Bombyx mori: one gene and its partners. The protein of the gene in region 4 interacts with the protein of the main gene of each other region in a pairwise test. Links are inferred from orthologs where the notes say so. Each region holds a gene or a part of one and is shown on either strand. Other genes may lie near its edges.

The links.
Region 1: the proteins of cytoplasmic protein NCK1 (region 4) and sorting nexin lst-4 interact in a two-hybrid assay, tested with the Drosophila melanogaster proteins (2 studies listed by BioGRID). The link is inferred for Bombyx mori from reciprocal best matches to the Drosophila melanogaster genes dock and SH3PX1.
Region 2: the proteins of cytoplasmic protein NCK1 (region 4) and serine/threonine-protein kinase Pak interact in a two-hybrid assay, tested with the Drosophila melanogaster proteins (3 studies listed by BioGRID). The link is inferred for Bombyx mori from reciprocal best matches to the Drosophila melanogaster genes dock and Pak.
Region 3: the proteins of cytoplasmic protein NCK1 (region 4) and actin nucleation-promoting factor WASL interact in a two-hybrid assay, tested with the Drosophila melanogaster proteins (2 studies listed by BioGRID). The link is inferred for Bombyx mori from reciprocal best matches to the Drosophila melanogaster genes dock and WASp.
Region 5: the proteins of cytoplasmic protein NCK1 (region 4) and cell adhesion molecule Dscam2 interact in a two-hybrid assay, tested with the Drosophila melanogaster proteins (3 studies listed by BioGRID). The link is inferred for Bombyx mori from reciprocal best matches to the Drosophila melanogaster genes dock and Dscam1.

Annotation. Positions count from the first base shown.
Region 1 is NC_085119.1:13,643,332-13,647,874, reverse strand, and holds the start of sorting nexin lst-4, read right to left. Parts: upstream 2,854-4,543; 5' UTR 2,630-2,853; exon of another isoform or gene 2,402-2,629; intron 1,951-2,401; 5' UTR 1,937-1,950; coding exon 260-1,936; 3' UTR 1-259.
Region 2 is NC_085121.1:11,072,469-11,076,827, reverse strand, and holds the start of serine/threonine-protein kinase Pak, read left to right. Parts: upstream 1-1,450; 5' UTR 1,451-1,511; coding exon 1,512-1,515; exon of another isoform or gene 1,516-1,608; intron 1,609-1,706; coding exon 1,707-1,835; intron 1,836-2,294; coding exon 2,295-2,455; intron 2,456-3,915; coding exon 3,916-4,087; intron 4,088-4,359.
Region 3 is NC_085121.1:15,494,959-15,499,336, forward strand, and holds the start of actin nucleation-promoting factor WASL, read left to right. Parts: upstream 1-1,286; 5' UTR 1,287-1,605; coding exon 1,606-1,692; intron 1,693-3,985; coding exon 3,986-4,213; intron 4,214-4,378.
Region 4 is NC_085110.1:18,092,891-18,096,402, forward strand, and holds part of cytoplasmic protein NCK1, read left to right. Parts: intron 1-419; coding exon 420-613; intron 614-715; coding exon 716-976; intron 977-1,062; coding exon 1,063-1,150; intron 1,151-1,395; coding exon 1,396-1,929; 3' UTR 1,930-3,512. UniProt on the Drosophila melanogaster protein: Adapter protein that links cell surface receptor tyrosine phosphorylation to downstream signaling pathways and effectors, many of which are involved in regulation of the actin cytoskeleton.
Region 5 is NC_085118.1:9,060,601-9,064,399, forward strand, and holds part of cell adhesion molecule Dscam2, read right to left. Parts: coding exon 3,704-3,799; intron 3,618-3,703; coding exon 3,376-3,617; intron 3,280-3,375; coding exon 3,124-3,279; intron 2,039-3,123; coding exon 1,890-2,038; intron 1,148-1,889; coding exon 1,015-1,147; intron 717-1,014; coding exon 607-716; intron 1-606. UniProt on the Drosophila melanogaster protein: Cell surface receptor involved in guidance and targeting of growing nerve axons.

The DNA of each region.
Region 1 (4,543 bases), on a different chromosome or scaffold from region 4:
GTCCGAAATATCATCACATCATAAATTCATTTATAATAATGTTCAGATTTATTTAGCTTGCGTAGTATGCTATGTTTTATGTAGTAAATTAGAATCAAATTCCAAATTTCTAGAAATTCCAAGATACATATTGTGTTTTTTGGTGAAAATTGACTTCTACAAAATATTCATAATCAAATACTGAACACCCATAAATTTTCCAATTCAAAACTTCTTGATACAATTTATATTAGATTCAATATCAATTCCTAAGTTAAATCTAATCATCATAGTATCTTAGCGTGGTTTCCAACTTATCTACTATTTTCTTGTAAAAGTTGATTTGTTGCTTCAAGAATTTTTGCATGGTGGCTTTTATATCAACAGTCCGTTCTGATTTGAAATGGTTGATTTCGGCAAGAAGCGCATATGATATAACATCGGTCCTTCTCAAGACTTCATTTAATTGTGCAACCTCCATTTTGTTTTCAGCAGTCAGTCTTTCACACTCTCTTTTCTTTTGCACTGCACCCTTATGATTGGCCAGGACATCAGGAAAACTAGCTGCAATTCCTTTGTATAAATGAAATTTATCACCCAGTGGCTCCCAATCATACTTCGGTTGTTCATCATACATCCTACCAATATCAATGTAGACACCACCTGTCATTTTAATAGCTGAAGTCAGCTTAGATGTTGATACTATGGTACCTTCATCCAAGCTTAAGGCATTGCCAAGACTATAAAATGCTTCTCCTATTTTCTGGCAGTCACTCTTGTATGGTCCTTGGAAACGTTTTGTTTGCACAATGCACATGCTAGACACAGACTTGATGGCTGTGTCGACACTGTTAATGAAAGTGTGGCACTGTTCTGTGATATGATCAACTTGTGATTGCAATAATGCTTTCTCAGGTACCACTAGTGAAACACAATAATTTAGACCTAGCAAATTATCTTTTTCAGCTTGCCTTTTACCAGCTTTCCATCTCTTTTCATCAGTACATGTTAAGAAGTGTTGCCAAACCTCGCTTCTGGAGAGCACAGGGTGCTTGCACATCCAATCTACAAACTCTTGGAGCTGAACTCGCCTGCGTTCGATTAGTTGCTCATCATATCTTCCAGATATCTGTTTGTCAGGCAGAGGGGGGATTGGAATAAGTGTGAACTTTTCTTGTAGTCTCTCATGGAGCCAGTCAAAGTGTTTGTATCTCCTGGACACTTGAATATTATTGAATGAAGGAGTCAGTTGATAGGCTATAAAACTCTTGATCCCTTTGAATTTAGATTCCTTTTTTGGAGAGGCCACAGTCACAATATATGGCTGAGTAATTGGGGACCAAATATATCCATCTTCATCTTGGATAATGTAGACCTTTTCAGAGTCTGGTACTTCTACATTAAGGGTTGCCAGCAGGTAGCTTTCTCCACTAATCTTTGAAGATGGTGCAAATTTGTTTTTTCTAACTGTGCCCACTGATGAGCTATAATTTGAAGATGTGTCATCTATGTGTTGATTATAATCATTAATAGGCATACCGGGAATCACAATGGATGATTGCTGGTTGTACTGCGATGTCTTGTTTTGTTGCTGGGCTGGTCCTATCTCTGAGTATGTATCATCTTCCCAGTCATCATCCCAGCCATCTTCATGCGAAACTCCTCTTTGGTAATTGTTATCTCCTGCACTGTAGTGTTGTTCGCCCCAGTCATCTGCTGCTTGATCATATCTAGGTGCTGGAGGAGCAGCTTTAGTTTGAATTGATTCTTCTGGTGTCAGTTTTCTGACATATGCAGCAGGAAATAGACCAGTTTCTCCATTAGATTTTTTTCCTTCCCACCAGCCTTCTCCGATTTCTGTGTTGAGCAGTGTGAGCACCTCTCCACAAGTTATGGACATCTCTGTGGTGCCAGGCTCACCAGTGAAGTCATACAAAGCCTGCACTTGGGTCGCCATTTTAAGACCCGTACCTACAACAATTGCAAAATAGATTATTGTATTAACCTGAACGATTTTATTAGGAAGGTTTGTTACATTGAGTACAAATTTTATCTTATCAGTGTTATCTAGAAATGTAGGGAGTATGCACATAAATGATAAATAAATTGCGATGTTCGTGTTATAACTATTATTATTTTATTTAGTTGTAAAATTTGAAGCCGAAATTGGTGGGCTGTAAGGCGCTGACACATATCGCTAGTTTCATAATAGCACCAATTAGCTGTAATTGATGAATTTGATCTCGTTTACAGTTTTAGGATTCTGCTCGAAATTGTGACATGTTCGTATTAAGCATTTGTATTGTATTCAAAAGTACGTCGAAAATGCATTGTTCGCTGTGTAAAACCCAGAAAAGTAGTATGTTTATTTAAAAATTCTTTGATGTGAATAATTTTTAATGTATATGAAAATTTTTATTACTAATTCATAAAGGTTTTCATATGTGAACGAAGTATTGGTGGATTTTGAAGGTGAAACGGTTTTAAATTCAACAATTTTGCGTTGGAAATCAAACCAATGACGTCAATTTTGAACTCGTGTATTGTGGAACTTCAGTGAACAATCGCAGTATTAGTCGGTTCTGCACTTCAATTTTGATTCGATATCACTTATGTAAACACATTTACACAAATAATGCGTTTTACTTACTGTTTTTCAGTATAAAACGTAATTTCAAAGCGGATACCCCGAATGTACAGTCATCTGTTTGACAGATTAACAAAACTTGTTTTCTATAGCTATTGTTCTCTTACAACATATAGTGTAAAATTTGTATGTTCTCGTTGATGTGGCAAGGAAATGTTCCTTTTACACGGTTAATAGTCATTGGTCAGAGTAAATTATCAGGTATCAACATCCAATAGGAGACGGGCAACACAAAATAACCAATTAGAATCTCTTAGTCTAAGCGGAGTTAAAAAAAAATTATGTTTAGTGTTTATTAAAGTTATGTACTGGTGAAGAGAAAATTGCTGTGAAATAATTGACTCGACAGTAATTTTCATACAAATTTCTAATAATTAAAACTGTTACGATTTACAGTAGAATGAAATGTAGATGTCGCTACTGTTTCATGGAGGTTATATGAATAGAGCTAAAAGCGAAAAAATGCGCCAATACGATCATGGAAATCAACCCGAGTAGCCTTACAATGCTATGTGATAGCCACATGGGCACTGACGTTGGATAACAAACTAAGTAAAGGTATGTTATGGTGGCCTTACGGGCTCACCACAGTGGCGACATCTGCTACGAGATTTCAGTTGTAATTCCATTCAATAAAGGTACGACGCCGCGACGACTACGCAATTAAGTTAACAAAGTGCGATGAATGAAAACTTGATGTTGTAAACTGTGCGTGGGTTTTTTTATGGATCGAAACTTAGTCCAATAAATAGACAAGTGGGTTGATTAAACTTTCCTACGTCCTGGGGTTCGGGGATTAAATTATGAACAAGGCTTTAACCAAAAAAATGCTTATTGATCGAATGCGGACAATCAAATAAATATCTAATACATATTAGCATTCATTCTCTCATTTTTTCGCTTTGCACTCGTCTGTTCGACTTTGGCATTGTCGCGCTTTTCTTGTTTGCATACTACACCCCATCCTATGTTCCGGTATGCAATGGAGCTCGAACGTTCGTGAAATACGATTTCTATTATGGCCGTATGTTGTTGGTCTGCTCTCTACTAGATGGCGTTACTTGTTTTGGTCGTTGTGTGTTGCGTTATTTGCGAGATGGCTTTCATTATCTAGGTAGGTACGTACGGTTTGTAATCGTTTAAGTTGATCTGTTTACATTTGCATTTATATTTGTTTTGTTATTGGTATTTCTGCGTGTAAAATGTTGCCAAAATTTTCTTTAATAATAATACCTATGTCTATACTTAGTCTGGCCATAAATACTGTTACAAAGGAAAACAAAAAAAAATGTGTGCGTGTACTAGTGTACACACGTAAGAAGTGAAACTTATTTATGGCCTTATTTTTCGAAAAATGATCTACATGCAACTTTCTAGAAATTGGTTAAATAAAGTTAAATTAGATAAAGTTTAAACAAAAGGATTTTATTATCATAGACATGAATACAAAAAAGTTAAATTAGATAAAGTTTAAACAAAAGGATTTTATTATCATAGACATGAATACAAAACAGATGGCGCGTAACGGAAAAATGTGACGCGTAACCGAAAAATGTGACGGTAAATTTTTTTCCAACGCCGATAAGGAAGTTTCACTTCAAAAATTCTATGGCAAATAACATTTATTACTTTTACAGTGTGTTAGTTTAATACATAAATATAAAACAATTTAAAGTATAAAAGCTTATTCGAAGTGGTCTCCATTGGCTGCAATTCTGTCCTTTAAACGTTGAGGCCAGTTATCAATAGAAGCACGCAATTTTTCCATGGGGAAAATGTTCACTGACAATCGTACGGATTGTTTTAGGGACTCAAAATTATCATGGCGTTTAGAGCAAGCCGTACTCTCTAAAACTGACCATAAATCATAATCCAGCGGATTAAGATCGGGACACGACGACGGCCAGTCTTCAGCTT
Region 2 (4,359 bases), on a different chromosome or scaffold from region 4:
TATCATGTTTTGTAAAAGAGTCGTTCGTCACGCTCTTGGCTGTTGTATTGCAAGCTGCTGGTACCAACAATTTCAAGATTTGTAAAATCTGCTCTTGCTGATTTTGTTGTGCATGTAAAAATAATGCGAATTGTTCATCGTTCATCTTAATTTCTTTTAACTCGTCGCCAATATAATGAAACAATGTTTTCAAGACATAGCATAAAATATAATAATGATAGATGGTAAAAATGACAATGTGTTCGAAGTATATTTCAAATAATGGAATATGGAAAAGAAGGTTACAACACTCCGCAATCCCTTATTCCACAAATTCCGATTTTGTTGTTTTCATTGGCTACCTATCGAATTCACAACTTTCTATTTTGTTGCACTACGTTAATAAACCTTTTAGCACAAAGTCCAAAAAAGTTTTGTGAAGTTTTAATAATTTAAATGTTGTGTTTCTTCTTATTTAGACGTCTTAAACTGGTGACTTATTAACCATTTTGCATCAGTGAAAAAGAGCAAGTGTCACGAAATGAAACAAAGACGATGGATGAAGCTTCTTAGCCTTAAAAGTCTAGGCTCAATAAATTATTACCATTTCACTGAAATATTTTTTCATTTAATCTAATCATTGAACACTACTTACACATTTTACTTAGTCAGCTACTGGGTTGCTAAAGTTTTTAAATAATTATAATCTGGGTTAATTCCTGAATTGTATTGAATTATTACCATCTATGCCAATGGCACAGTAACTCATTTCGTTATGTAGTAAAAAAGTAAAAATAAGTATAAAAAAATAGAAATTTCAAGAAACTGACATAGACGAGGCGCGACTGGTAGTAGGATGTCTTGTGAGTCTGCACGGGTAGGTATCACTGCCCTGCCTGTTTTTGCCGTGAAGCAGTAATGCGTTTCTGTTGGAAGAGTGGGGCAGCTGTTGTACTGTACAACACTGAAACTTAGAACTCATGTCTCATTGTGGATGGCAGCCTTTACGGTATTGAAGTCTATAGACATCGATAACCACTTAACACCAGATAGGCCGTGAGTTCGTCGACCCCTCTAAACAATAAAAAATATCGTATTATATACTGTAACATTTTGCGTTGTTACAATTGCGATTCGTGAACGTCTCAGGCTCAGCTGTTGTGCATCGCAAGCCATTGAGATATTTTGATAAATAAAAATATGAGAATAATAATTGAAGCAGCTCTCTTGAGCTTCTTACTGAAGCTTGATATTTGGTTTGTGGTATTATTGCAAATGAGTGTGATCTGTGGCGGTAATGGCGGCTCTAGTCATCGTCAGTGATATCTTTGGATGTGTCTGAATTTAAAAAATAGTTCTCTCATAGGTGATAAGTCATACAAAGTGTTGTAAGATTTAGAAATGTTATATATTCATTCTACGAAACTCCATAAAACATTTAATATTTAAAAAAACGGGTAAGTACGCATTTCATTCAAGCAAATTGTACAGCGTTTTGTCGCAGTCTCAAACCCTACGACCAGGGCGCGTCCATGAGTAATATGCCGATTTCCTTTTTGTTTTTGGTTAAAATTTCATCCATTCTTTGCACTTATCTTTTGCGTTCGTTTATTAAGCGAACATAATCTTGTGAGTCATTCTAAAACTGTCATTGTAAGCAAATAATTCGCACGTAGTACCCAAACGAAACACCCTTAAATATTTTTAACTAGTTTGTTTGTTGGCAGCCAGGCCTAGATTCGATATGTCGAGTGACGAAGATAAACCGCCTGCACCACCGGTGCGTCTAACAAGTAATCGTGCCACTGATAGAGTAGACTCTGTAGCTTCAGTCGACATGAGACCTCTTCCGAAAGGTAACACTGAACCCTTTTTCAACTAATAATCCAAATTTAAAACCAAACTAATCATTGTTTTATAAGTTACGATAAATGATAATCTAATAATATTGTCGACGACCGTCTGGTGTAGTGGTAAGTGACATGGTCACTACACAAGGGGGTCGCGGGTTCGAATCCCGCCAAGGGAAGATATTTGTATGATAAATATAAATGTATTTTCCAGGGTTATGGATGTATATTAAATATATGTATGTGTATAATAAAAATCTTACATTTATTTCCGTTATCTGGTACCTATAACACAAGTTCTTTACGAGCTTATCACGGAACCAGTTAACGTGGCGTGATTGTTAGTAAATATTTATTATTTATTTATTATATATTATTGTAATGTATGTGCAGTGTAGTGCAGACATTAAAAGATATTCAAATCACCAATTGTTTTAATTTCAATATAATTGATTTCAATTACAGAGCCTGATGATGGTAGTGATAGGAAAAAGAAAACACTAAAAGCAAAAATAAAAGGATCAAAGAGTACAGCACACAATGATAATAAACCAAATATTAGTTATCCAACAAACTTTGAACACACCGTTCATGTTGGTTTTGATGCTGTTACGGGGGAATTCACTGTAAGTATATCAACTTATAAAAGTCATCACATAAAAATCATCCAATCATTTTTAAAATTTATTTTACTGCAAATTCAAAGTAAAATTTATATTTTAATGAATCCAGAAGTTAGTAGATTTTGTTATCATATGTTGAGTAACTTTTGTATTACAACTGGAAAACTAATGCACTTTAGCACAACTAATCATTGGCTCACAAACTTGTCAAAGTGAAAAAGCTGCAACATAGACTAAGTTATAAAATATTGCCTACACAATTTGCCTAATAGCTTCAATGCTTTGCTTTAAGAGTGGCTTACAGAGCAAAATCAAAAGTAGATAAGAGCCATGCAGATTTGCAATATTAAATTGTATCCATAATTTGCAAAAAAATCCTAAGCATGTTAAAATATAAAACTATATTGAGTAGACATGGTAATACTAATTTAGATAAATGAATTGTGATTATGAAATTAGTTATTGAAAATGTTGATTGAACAACAGTGCCATAAAAATATGAATATATCTATGAACACAATGTAAATGAAGCTCCATAAGTTACCGCTTTTGTTTCAAGCTGCCTATAACAGTAAGTAATAGCTTATATATGTTTTGTATTAGTACTTCTTTATAACATTAACATGTATTGTCATTGGACTATTTAAATAAACTTTGACTTTGTTATTTCCAGTTAAGTAAAATGTTTTTCAATCAAATTATTTGCTAACACTGCTAATTTCTGCTTCACGCTTAATATACTTTGAAAATCCAAAATTTGATACACTGTTCTTCAAAACTTTAATTGCTTGTTCACATTATATTTATAATATAGTACATTTTTTTGTGATTTTTAGTGTTTGAAATCCATGAAAGGGTTTAGGCCGTAGGCATACACACATACATATAGAGAAGTAAAAGGCTATTTGGTTTAAGCAAAATTTTTCTGAATATGCAATTTTGTCTTTGTAATTAAAGGTGCGTCTTATTTAGTATTACCATCAACACTTTGAATGGTTTTGAATAAACTTCAATTAAGTTTACTCCATTGAAATAGCTGAGGTAGTTCTTTTGTAAAGATAATTGATAATTGTTTTAAACTTTTAATGGCTTTCCTGTAAAGTTGCAAAATGACACTTAAACCAAATAATCAGCTTTCACCCCTAGATATACTTGAAAAATGTAACCCTCCATAAACAATCACTCACTTTGGACACCTTAACTTTGGTTTTTGTAGTTGTATATACATAATACTAAATTAAATTAGTTACATATGATTACAAAAAATGCAATTGTTACAATCCAAAATGCCAACTACAATATACTATTACTACGCAAATTGTACCATTTATGTACTTTCAAAGCATGCATTAATTCTCATTTTAAATGTTGACCTTCTAAACTTTCAAGATGAACCTTTTTAATCATGAAAATAATTAATTTTATCAAAATAGTTTCTTGAATTATCATATGGTTTATTAAAGGGTATGCCAGAGGCATGGGCGCGACTTCTGATGGCTGCAAACATTAGTAAACAAGAACAGAAGAACAATCCACAGGCCGTATTAGATGTACTGAAATGGTATGATGCGTCTGCAACTCAACCTCCTCCTTCGAAGTATATGACTTCAGCTCAGATGCACACTACGCATTCAGGTAAATAATTTCATCAAATAATAAATTTATTTATTATTGGAGGGCATTCTTTAATATTTACTGCCAGTTTTCATTTCGAGTTTTCTCTAATAGACTGTTTGTTCAAAGCATTCCAAAATTTTAATTGTATTACTCTTCTTATTCTTATTACTCATAAAAATTTCTAAGATAATTTTTTAAAACAAAAAAAATGTATATGTTGTTTACAGTTGTGGCTATATAATTAAGAATGTTTTGAAGTTCCAGATTTTTTTATCTAAATCATAAAATAT
Region 3 (4,378 bases), on a different chromosome or scaffold from region 4:
CATATGGAAGAAGCTTGAAAAAGTGTCGCACTTTCAGCAATAACTAACAGTTCAAAAATCCTCCAGAATGGCGCTAGCATAGGCACAGGGTATGATATGAATTGAGCAGTTTTTAACTGATTGAAGTATGCTGAGTTAGGAAATTTAATATATTTGTAGTTAGTGACAGTGTAATACACAAGTTTACGTAGTCCAAACTAATTTCGTCAATATAACCTAAAATTATTGCTGTGGTAAAAGGTGGAGACATCGATTGCATTTTCTTATCAGCTTTAAATAATATACTTTTTGTGATTTTGTAGTGCTTACAGGTCTTTCGTCCTTTTTTATTTCTCTATCTTATTCTAATAACTTTCAGGGCCTTTTTTAAAATTTACCCGGTTGCTACTGTAGCGCCACCCTTATTTAGTCAGTTTTAACGGACACTTTTTCACACACAGAGACGGTTCTCCTTACCTCTACCCTCCATATTCCTAATATGTCTATATCGATCATAGATAGTACACATAAATTCATAGACCTATATAGTAATAAATTATGTAGATGTTGCAATGATTAAATCATTGTAGGCGCCTGAGTTGCGAAGTAGAGGTGCCTCTACCCTCCATACTGCGAAGTAAAAAAAAAACAAAATGGCTGTCATTCTAGTATAGAGGTGCCAAGAGAAAATTGGGATAGTGATTTATCGCTAAAAATTCCCATATTTTACCCCACATAAGTTTCACTGGTGTATTGACACATTGTAATAATAGGTAGTACATAAAAATGAAATTGATTTACCTCCTAATCTACTGTGATGAAATGGATTGAAACGAGACGTGTTCAAAGGAATAAGTTCCAGAAAAATGCTCGGAAGTTATTAATACTTCAGTGAACTTCTTAGAAAACTTTGAATAGCCACAGTACTTTCTTAATTTTCTATAATTAGGTACTTTCACAGATGCTAAGCGGTTATTAGCATTGTTACCATTGGTGCATTAGCACCGTTATTAAATATTAGGTGTCACTAGAAAAAAATATTGACATTTCCTTGACCAAGTCACCGATGCCGCAGATATCGGCTAATAAATTTTATATGCACGAACCGGTTTTTAACCCTGAGTTATGGAGGAAAGAAATAAGTAAAATCAGGGGTGTAGAGACAGATGTCACTAAGGAATTTTTTGTTCGTGTACATAGTAGGTAAATAAAAACAAATTTGCGAATGCTTGGCAACTCGACACGTAGCATATAGTCTGTGAGCACCATAGATTATACACTTAATATATTCGAGAGCACAATAAAATCCATAGACTATACACTTAAGTGTATAATCTATGCTATACACTATACACATTGAATCAGATCAAACAGCACAGTAAGTTAATACGCTCACAGAGGGAGAAAGTGAAGATTTGCAAAATCAGAACGGTTTCCTAAGAACTTTTAGTTTTCGAGATGAATGTTTCCATTTTATGAGAAATGTTTACATGGGCCCAGTAAAAACAGCGGCTAGATAAAACGAACAAAACAACATTAAAATGCAGAAGAGTTTTTGTAGCTGACACATCAGTTTTCATGTGTTTATAGTGATTTTATGTGTGATATCTACGTTAGGCAAGCAAGATGCCGAGGGGAGAGCACAGAACGACAAATCTCCTGTCACGCGAGGAGAACGAACAGGTGTTCAGCCTAATAGGACCAAAATGTCAGGTGAGTTAATCATCCTTTTTAGATCCTTCATGAAAGTAGCTCGCGTTGAATCAGTCCACCTTGATTACGTATCTATAGCCCTATCAATGTATTATCTTATGCTATCTAAACGATAGAGTTGTTTGCGTCCTATTCTATCGCCTGGATGATTGATTAAGATATTATCTTGTTCCTTGTAACGTTAAATGTCTTGTTTTAAATCTAATGAAAATTACAAATCTTTTTAATTTTTTAATAGTATAAAAGGCTTTTGATAAACCCTCGGAACTTAACCGACCGACTACAATGCTTGACATTTCAGGCCCAAGCAATGTTTAGGAATTAAATTACTGTCAATACAAATTTCAACAATGAATTTTTATATTTTTTTTATATTTTCTGTGTACAACAAACTATATATTCAACTAACGTAAATTCTAAATGATTATTAACTCACATATTGGGTTTCAAAACCCACAGATAGGGAATTTTTTGAAATTAAACTATTCTCACACAATCATGAAAGACACTGAAATAAATAAAAGTAATAGAATCTAAACGAAATTCAAATAATATAAAAAGTATATTTACTATTTGTGAACCTCTGAACAGTGGAAACTGTCCCTGTCTATTTCTAATGTGAAAAATTTGGGGCAAAACAATTATGGTTGATATTGAGAGTTCTATAAACTGATAATTCCACATCATGTGTGCTCTTAGCTGCCCAGTTTAAATTATAAAAAAAAAACACTAATCAAAAAAGAGTTAAAAGTACATCTTAACAAGTCAGAAAAAGTGTAATTGCATTTCGACCAGTCATGTCGTGAAAGTGTTCAAAGCCTGCATATGATAGAAATTTCACCCCATAAAGACATACAGTGAAAGTCTGTTACTATATCAGATCTCAGTAAAGTATTTATTACGACAACTGGTTTTGCATGTCTTGTCTATTATACAATATATTCATAATATACATACACATGTTACTGTAGTGGATTATAGTTTAGAAATTTAATAAATCCAATATAAAAAAGATTGTTTGTTGGGAGTGTCTGTATAAATATTATCTATACAATTTCAAGTATTAAATCATCAGTCAACAAATTTCAAAGCGCAACTTATCTCTTATTAAACAATGGTCAAGTACAACCATGAATATAATAATCTTGTACCATATTGTACAAGAAAACCACTACGATTTCAAATTATTGAAATATATGAAAAATCATTAAACATAAAAAATTCACAAATCATTTGGACCCCTCCATATTATCATCTGTTCTATGGGTCTTCATATACTACTTGTATCAATAATATACGGGGTCAGCTCTGTTGTTAGCCACTATCAATAAAAATATATTTCCCACCTCATTACTAGTATCTGATTTGCATATTTTTATGTGATTCAATATAATTATGACTCACTGACTCAATGATTCAGAAAAGAATTGTGTTATTCAATATATTATCTAAAGTCTATATATTATCTATATATTATCTTTTTAGATTTTTCTAATCATTATATTATCTAAAAATTGTGTTATTCAATATAAAATCTATTATCTATTATTATCTAAATGTGGTACGATACATAGTTCTTGGAGCAACATATATACCATAATCTTGTTTCTGTTACCTTTAAAAACAAAATTGAAGCCTCAGCGGCATTGGATTTTATCTGCGACTGAAATAAAGATTTTTATTCTTAAAAATATCTTAGAATACCCATTTACATATATGCCTAGATACTATAGTGACAATAATCTGTCATTTGGTGAAATCAGATACCCTTTGGGAGCTTTAGGCAGATTTAGGATTTGCATTTGTAATGAAAATTTGAATCACATCATCAATTTTTTATTTATTGCTTAGATGGGTAGACGAGCTCACAGCCCACCTGGTGTTAAGTGGTTACTGGAGCCCATAGACATCCACAACGTAAATGCGCCACCCACCTTGAGATATAAGTTCTAAGGTCTCAGTATAGTTACAGTGGCTGCCCCACCCTTCAAACCGAAACGCATTACTGCTTCACGGCAGAAATAGGCAGGGCGGTGGCACCCACCCGCGCGGACTCACAAGAGGTCCTACCACCAGTAAGCCTACATACTTTCCGAGAATTGCCCAAAAAATATACCTATATTTTGACAAAGAATTGTAGTATCCAAAAAATAGTATTTATATTCAAAACTATTTTCTGATTTAGACATATGTTGCGGGCCGCTGTCTGGAAAATAAACTTGCCTGATGAAAGACCCTCTCTTTCATAGTCATCACAAGCAACACATAATTTAAAAATTTAAAATGTTTTCAGAGTCTAGCAACTACAGTTGTTCAACTCTTCACAACTGAAGGTCCAGCACATTCTGAATGGAAGAAGAGAGATACTGGTGTACTGTGCCTTATAAAGGACAATGGCAAGCGCTCATACTTCTTCAGGATTTACTGTTTGTACCGAAAAGCAATGATATGGGAGCACGAAGTTTATATGCAGATAGAATATAAGAACCCAAGGCCTTATTTACACACTTTCGAAGCTGAGGTAAGCTTAAAACTATGTTGAAAGTAAATAATGTAATATTGTATTTATAGTACATATAATAATAATAATGAAGTTGTCTTGGCCTAAAGCAACATCTGGTGTACTCATATCTCATGATATGCCTATAACCATATTATTTGCTTGGACCAACTTTGTGTTGGTTTT
Region 4 (3,512 bases):
ATAATAAAGATCATTTATTGCCTTTCACATCATAAAATGAAATACAAAAAAAAAGAAAAGCAAAATAAAAAGAGAAAAAGGCAAAAGGAGGTGGCTCAGCTATTGCTGTTCAAGATTGATAAATTGAACAGCGCTGATTTTCAGTCACCCCCATTTCCCTTTGGTTCTTTGCGGGAATGAAGACTCCGTACGTGTGTACATACTCAGAATATGGTATAAATTAGTAAAATTAATAAATTATAAAAATTTAAGAAAGAAACAAAATAAAAATCAAATTAAATGGTGAACCCGAAAATAAAACTAAAAATTTAAGAAAAAACAAAAGAAAAATCAAATAATTTGACTTTGAATTCATTTGACTTCAGATGTGTGTAAAAATCAATCCGCTTATTGTAATAATAGGCTTAAATACATTTCAGGATGACGTGTGCTATGTTGTAGCAAAGTACGATTATGCAGCTCAAGGTGCCCAGGAGTTGGATCTTCGTAAAAACGAGAGGTACCTTCTGCTTGATGATTCGAAACACTGGTGGCGCGTGCAGAATGCTCGCAGCCAGTCTGGCTACGTGCCCAGCAATTATGTCAAGAAAGAGAAACCATCGCTTTTTGACAGGTTAGTTTTAGTAAAAGAGTTTTACTCAGTGAATATTTTAAATTTTAAGCAAAAACATTTGTGGTATATGTATGGCTGTTGGCTGATTTTCGTTTCTTCCAGTATTAAGAAGAAAGTGAAGAAAGGTTCGGGTTCGAAGACACTCCCGTCGAACAGTTCGCCGGTGCGCGGGGCGGGGCCCGAGTCCCCCAGCGCCGCCCGACGGACGGACGCCGGCGACGCGCTGGGGGCGGCGCTCGTCAAGTACAACTACCAGGCGCAGCAACCCGACGAGCTCTCGCTCACCAAGGGCACGCGCATCCTCATCCTGGAGAAGAGCAACGACGGCTGGTGGCGCGGCCAGTACCAGGGACACACCGGCTGGTCAGTGCGCGGCCCCCGGTGGCCTCTTGGTCTGCGAACCTACAGTACAGGTGGACCCTACGTGTGACGCTCTCTATGTTTAACAGGTTTCCATCGAATTACACGAGCGAAGAAGGTGACAATGAAGACCCCGTGCACACCTACGCGATGGCTGAAAACGTTCTGGATATTGTTGTGAGTACTAATTGAATATGATCTAGGGTGTTCATAGCCCCGTTCATAGTTTACTCGTAACCTCTGTACCCAGGATCGAATTAAATTTACACTCGAACCTATCACTATTGTTTGTTCTTGCAACACGTTTCGATGTTTACTAGACCTCGCGTCCTTGTGACAGGAATAGGATGGGCCTGCCCTCTCCCGCACCGGTTATAGCATTTTGAGATAATTGGTAACGTCTGGTGTTGTCGCGGCGGCAGGTGGCGCTGTACTCGTTCTCGTCGAACAACGAACAGGAGCTGTCGTTCGAGAAGGGCGACCGGCTGGAGATCGTGGAGCGGCCGCCCTCCGACCCCGAGTGGTACCGCGCGCGCGACCACCGCGGCCGCCTGGGCCTCGTGCCGCGCAACTACCTGCAGGAGCTGGCCGACTACCTGGCGCTGCCCTACGCCGAGCGGCCCCCGGACCGCGGGCCCGCCGGCCGCGCCTGGTACTACGGCGCCATCACGCGCACGCACTGCGACGCGCTGCTCAACCAGCACGGACACGACGGCGACTTCCTCATCCGCGACTCGGAGACCAACGCGGGCGACTACTCCGTGTCGCTCAAGGCGCCCGCGCGCAACAAGCACTTCCGCGTGCACGTGGAGGGCGGCGCCTACTGCATCGGCCAGCGCAAGTTCCCCTCGCTGGAGCTGCTGGTGGCGCACTACCAGCGCGCGCCCATCTACACCAACAAGCACGGCGAGAAGCTGTACCTCGTGCGCCCGCTGCCGCGCCCAAAGCTCTGCTGATCCGCATCCGACAACATTCACTACTTTAAGGCCTTCAGTTAAAGGGTATTTTAGCTCCTCACCCCTTGTCAGTTAAGGTTCCCACCAACGTCACGCCGGACTCGCAGGTCGTTCGTAATCATTATTAGAATACATACATTATCAGCTAGCGACAACTTCACTTATCATTAAACTATTACAATCATAATCGCTTGACGTTTTCTGTAGCTTTAAATAATACTCATTGCATACAGTAAAACGACGCTCAGTGCCCCGCGCGCGCCGCCGTGCTCTGGTCGGAGGGACGCACTATGGGAGGACGTTCATTAAATGAATAAAAATTTCAGAATATATCTTATTCAAAAAATAATCTTCAAAATTTATGTGAAATTAGTTTAAATACATTAAGTAGGTTTTTATATTATCTTAGCTTTTAAATATAGCAGCCGACACGGCTCTATGTAGCGCGGGGGCGGCCGGGAGCTGCGCCCCCCTGCCCCGGTGCTCCGCCGGCGGCGCACTCATATAGCGATAATCTGAAATATATCGATAGGGGAACGTCGCAAATCAGTCTTCGCAAAATTAGTCAATATTATATGGATATAGTATTTGATAGCTAGAAAGAATATTACCAGTCCAAACCTATGGAGCGAGGAGACTTGGCACGACTTAATTACGCGGTTATGCACGACGCGCACCGCACAATGGTAACGCACGACGCGGCGGTGTGCGGCGTGCTGTCTGACCCATCGCTAGACACAGTCCTAGATAAATTCATTAATGAAACTTATCCAAAATGTCAAAATCGGCATCATCGGGATGTCATTTGCGTATCAAGAATTACCTACTATATTTATTACTCATTAATGCTTTGTGAATTGTATCAATAAAAAAGTTTATTGATATTTGATGTCAAATCGTAGTTCACGGGCTCGAAAAATGTTGACCGAAACAGGTTCAACTGAGAACTTGATTACGGTTTTGGAGGCCCCCGATGTAGTGCCCCGGCAGGCACCCCGCGCCCCCCACCCACGCCCCCTGTACGTCTCGCTCTAAGCGCGCGCAGTGAGCGAGACGTGACGTCAGCGGCGCGCGGACACGTCAGCGTAGCGTAGAAGTTAACCCAATTTTGTATGCAGTTAGAATAGCGCCCCTAGCGGCAAACGTACACAAACGATTCCATTCCATACAAATATGAGCTAACTTTAACGCTATCGAGAACGTTAAAAAACTCGCACTAAGCACACTGAAAACGATCACGTGGTGACGTGCTGCGCCCTTTACCCTGTGGGATGAGCACGATATTTACTTTAGGGATCATAACGCATCAACGAAACGCTGAAGTCTAAACCGAACATTGTGTTAACACGTAGACAATTAATTGTACAACATTTTATATTGTAATTTATACATTGTAGTCGTATTTATACTGAATCGTATTTCGAATCAATATTATTTGTAACAGCTATCTCTGTCACTCATAAGCGTAAGAAAGGGATGGCTGATTTCAATATTCGTTCACCGTACACGATTATTGAATTATTAATATTGTACGAGATCGTCACGTCTTCAATGAACAGTGACAGTAAAACTAGTGAATACTG
Region 5 (3,799 bases), on a different chromosome or scaffold from region 4:
CGTGGGATGTAGCTATGGCATTCTGTATGTACTGAATACAAAGCCGCCAAGAAAGTAATTATTTACTACTCGACAAAGAAAACTATAATAATCTTGAAAATAATAAACAAACACAAAAGCGTTTTTCACTTCCGTTTGTTTTAACGATTTTTTGTTTAGTAATTACAAAAATTTACTTTCTACAATATTTGTTTTACAGCAAAATAAAAGAAAACATACATAATATTAATTTATATCTTGAGGTGTCAATTATTTTCAAAACATTAGTATGCTAAAATATTTATCGTTGCAGAAAGGCCTTGTTTCATGAACCCGCAATGTAATTTGAATAATTTTAGCCTGTTCTTCCCGTGTCAGCTAATTTTGTACACTATTCATTATTGCACCTCGAGACATTTTATATGTTTATGGTAAGAAAGAATAAATTTAAATGTAATAGAAAAATAGGACATGTTATTTGTTTCTAGCATCACAGAAAAATTGCATTAAGCCTTTAGTATTTTTTCTTCTATGAAGGGAGTGGTTATTACCAGTACGATGAAAATATAAACCCAATGCAGCATGAACATTTGTTATTATTATATACATTATTTGTTATTACATTACCTTCCAGATAATATTAGGGGACGGCACACCGACAGCAAGACAAGGCAACTTCACATCCTCTTTGTAGGTCGCGGTGAATGATTCGTCAAACGAAGCGATCTTAGCGGGTACTGTGAAAAATATGAATCAATTTAAGTTTAAAAACTACTGTTTGACTGTTGACTGACTCGGTGGTGCAGTAATTAGCGTCTCTGACTGTTGCGCTGAGGGTCGTGGGTTCGATTCCCACATCGGGTAAACATTCGTGTGATGAACAGGTTTGTTCGTTCTTTGTCTGGGTGTTTATTGTTTATAGGTCTCCAAAACACAGGGAATCCGAAATTGGGGTCAGTTTACCATGCGTGATTATTATGTAGGTATTTATTATTAGTTACTATTAGATATGTATTCAAAATTTTATTATTTAACCTTTGTCGCTGGGGCTGCAAGAGGCGGTTGCTGAGGGTTGTCCTTCGCCGATGATAGTTGAAGCGGTTACCCAGAAGTCGTATCGGCCGGGCTTCAGTTCAGTTGCGGAGTAACTAGTTTGACTGGCTGGTACCTGGAATTTTATAAATAGATAAAAAATAGAAATATATAAAGATACATTAGCTTATAATAGCAACACCTCGTCTCTTCCCGTGGATGTAAAAGACAACCGGGTTGGTGGTAGAGCATATTGTAACCTGGCACGGATGGGTACTAATATTATATTTCTGCTGCGAAGCCTGATACTCTGGTTTGATCTGTGGGAAAACTGTTATACAATACGATTGAGATTTTCACCTCATGTCACAAGGTGAGTGGGTGGCGGGATTCACGTTGTGATATCAATGGACTCCAACTCCACAATGTAAACTAGTTGGTCATCAGAATAAGCTACAGCTATAGCTACAAGAACATACAAGATATACCTACCACGATTTTCTAATTTCATGAATTCCCGAATATACACTTACGGGGTGAGACATTTAGTTTTTTTTTATGGCAATAGTTTTAACTTTATGCCAGTTTCAAGTAAAAGGTAGGGAAACTGCACGTGAAACAAAATAAACAAAGACATCAAAAGGAAACAAAGAGACAATTAGTTTCAGTGGTAGCACCAAAAAACTGGCTAAAAAGAGGGTAGACAGATAAGTCAGCTCTTAGCATCCTACCCGCAGTCTTCCGACTATCTGTGATCATCATGGGGAACTCATAAAATGCGAACGTCCTGGTAAGATTACCAGTTCAGTAATAGAGTGTATAATTTAGATAGGCGCAAAGTTTAAAAGAATTCCTAACACATGTTTTAATTTAATTACCTTATTAGGATGAGGTTCTGCGTTCTGTGCTTGCGTGTACACGTTGTAGTGGGTGACAACTCCGTTAGGTTGCGCGGGGGCTCTCCAAGAAACAAGGATAGAATCCTGTCCCATTACAAGAGCTTTGACGGCACGCGGGGCCTCGGGTACTACACAGTACGAAATTATTTTAAGAAATTTCAAAAAAAATACATTGATCCACGTAAGCTTGTTACGGTGTCATACAAAGTGATATAACGGGAGGGATTTTATTAAGCGTCTTTATTATAAGGCGGACCGTGGCTGAAAGTTTTGACGCTCAAAAAAAACTTACTTAGGGTAATAAATTATGTTTTATTCAGTGTCTTTACTCAGGTGAATACTCACTGCTAGGAAACATTATCTGTGTCGATAAGGAACAAATGTGATCATTTTAAAGAAAAGCTTAAACTTTACATGGGATTTATAACGAAATGTCTTCAATCAGTTCTCCTTCGTTAAAATAGCTAAGCTAATTATAAATTCGAGTAAAAAACCGTTTCAAAACTAACGGTAGTATCAAAATCCGTCTAATCCTACAAGGTTTATAAACAGAATTACTCGAATACTTCCATTAATCAGGAGCACGGTGACTAATCCAACTAGCCAATCAGGAGTAAGAACGCGTTTCGTTTTTATAACCAACTTCCAGGAATTAAAGGGTTTTAATAAGTTTTGCGAGTTTAATTTATTATTAGACGTGCTTCATCACGGGAACCATTCGTAAGTGTTACGTACGTATTTACTAAGAATATTTTTGCCTCTTGAATTTGAAACCCGAATAGGTCGCAGCAGGCTATTAGGATACGAAGAATTCACTGTTTGGTCATTTCCACTAATGTGTTGTGTGACTGTGTTTCAATATATAGTTTTTGGCATATATTACTAGTTTACAATTGGTACTTTACAATACAATGGTATATTATTGTATTATAAGGATGTGTATCAACAGGAAAGATCATGAGCGTATTTATCCTACGGCTGATAGGACTATGACATAAGGCCACTGGTAGCGAGGTGCGGTGCAAGCCACATCACCACGCGTTGACTTTGTTTGTTTCTTAATTTGGCCTTTTTAGGATTGTCATTGATTATCGTTAAAACACTGCAGGATTTAATTTTCTAACTAAAAGTTTATAATTTTTTTGGTTCATCTAATATACGCCACTGAGAAAGATACAATATATCACCGTAAAGAAGAATTTAGAATACTGACCGTCTTGTTCAGTCTGACAGTGGATGGGTACAGATCGCACTCCGTCTCCGCCGTTAGTGGTCGCAAGCACTTCCATAGAGTAGTTAGTGAATTTCTTGAGTCCGTGGAGAATAGTTTCGCTACTGGCCGTGTTTTTGGTGTCTTTAGTTTTTTCATCTATAATAAATTCAGCATTGATAATATTACTATAAACCAGAAAAAAAACGAAATGTACTTGCTTAATATAAGTTTGACGTACGAGGAGATACGTACCGTACCAAGTTTCGCTGGGTCCGTAAATCACTTTGTACGCCTTGATCAGACCATTGGCAGCAGCCAGTGGGGGCGACACCCAGGAGACGCGGATGGTTTGTGCCGTGAGGGTGGTGCATAAAACGTCTTGAGGGGGAGCAGACGGGGCACCTTCGGCGGTATAGGCGCGAACTTCAGCGGACACCGGGCCCGATCCCATCTTATTGAAGGCTTGGACTACGACAGTGTACTGGGTGTAGGTCCTATGGAAAATATTCAGATGTAAAAATTAATAGTACACTACAGTTATCATGAATTGCTGACTTTCGCAGTCTTCAAGAAAACATACTTCAGATTTTGAATGTCCAAATGGTGTTCCTTGCCAGATTCTTTGGAAATGTCGACGGTTTCGAAAACGAACGATTTGTTGCTGGAAGCCAATTTG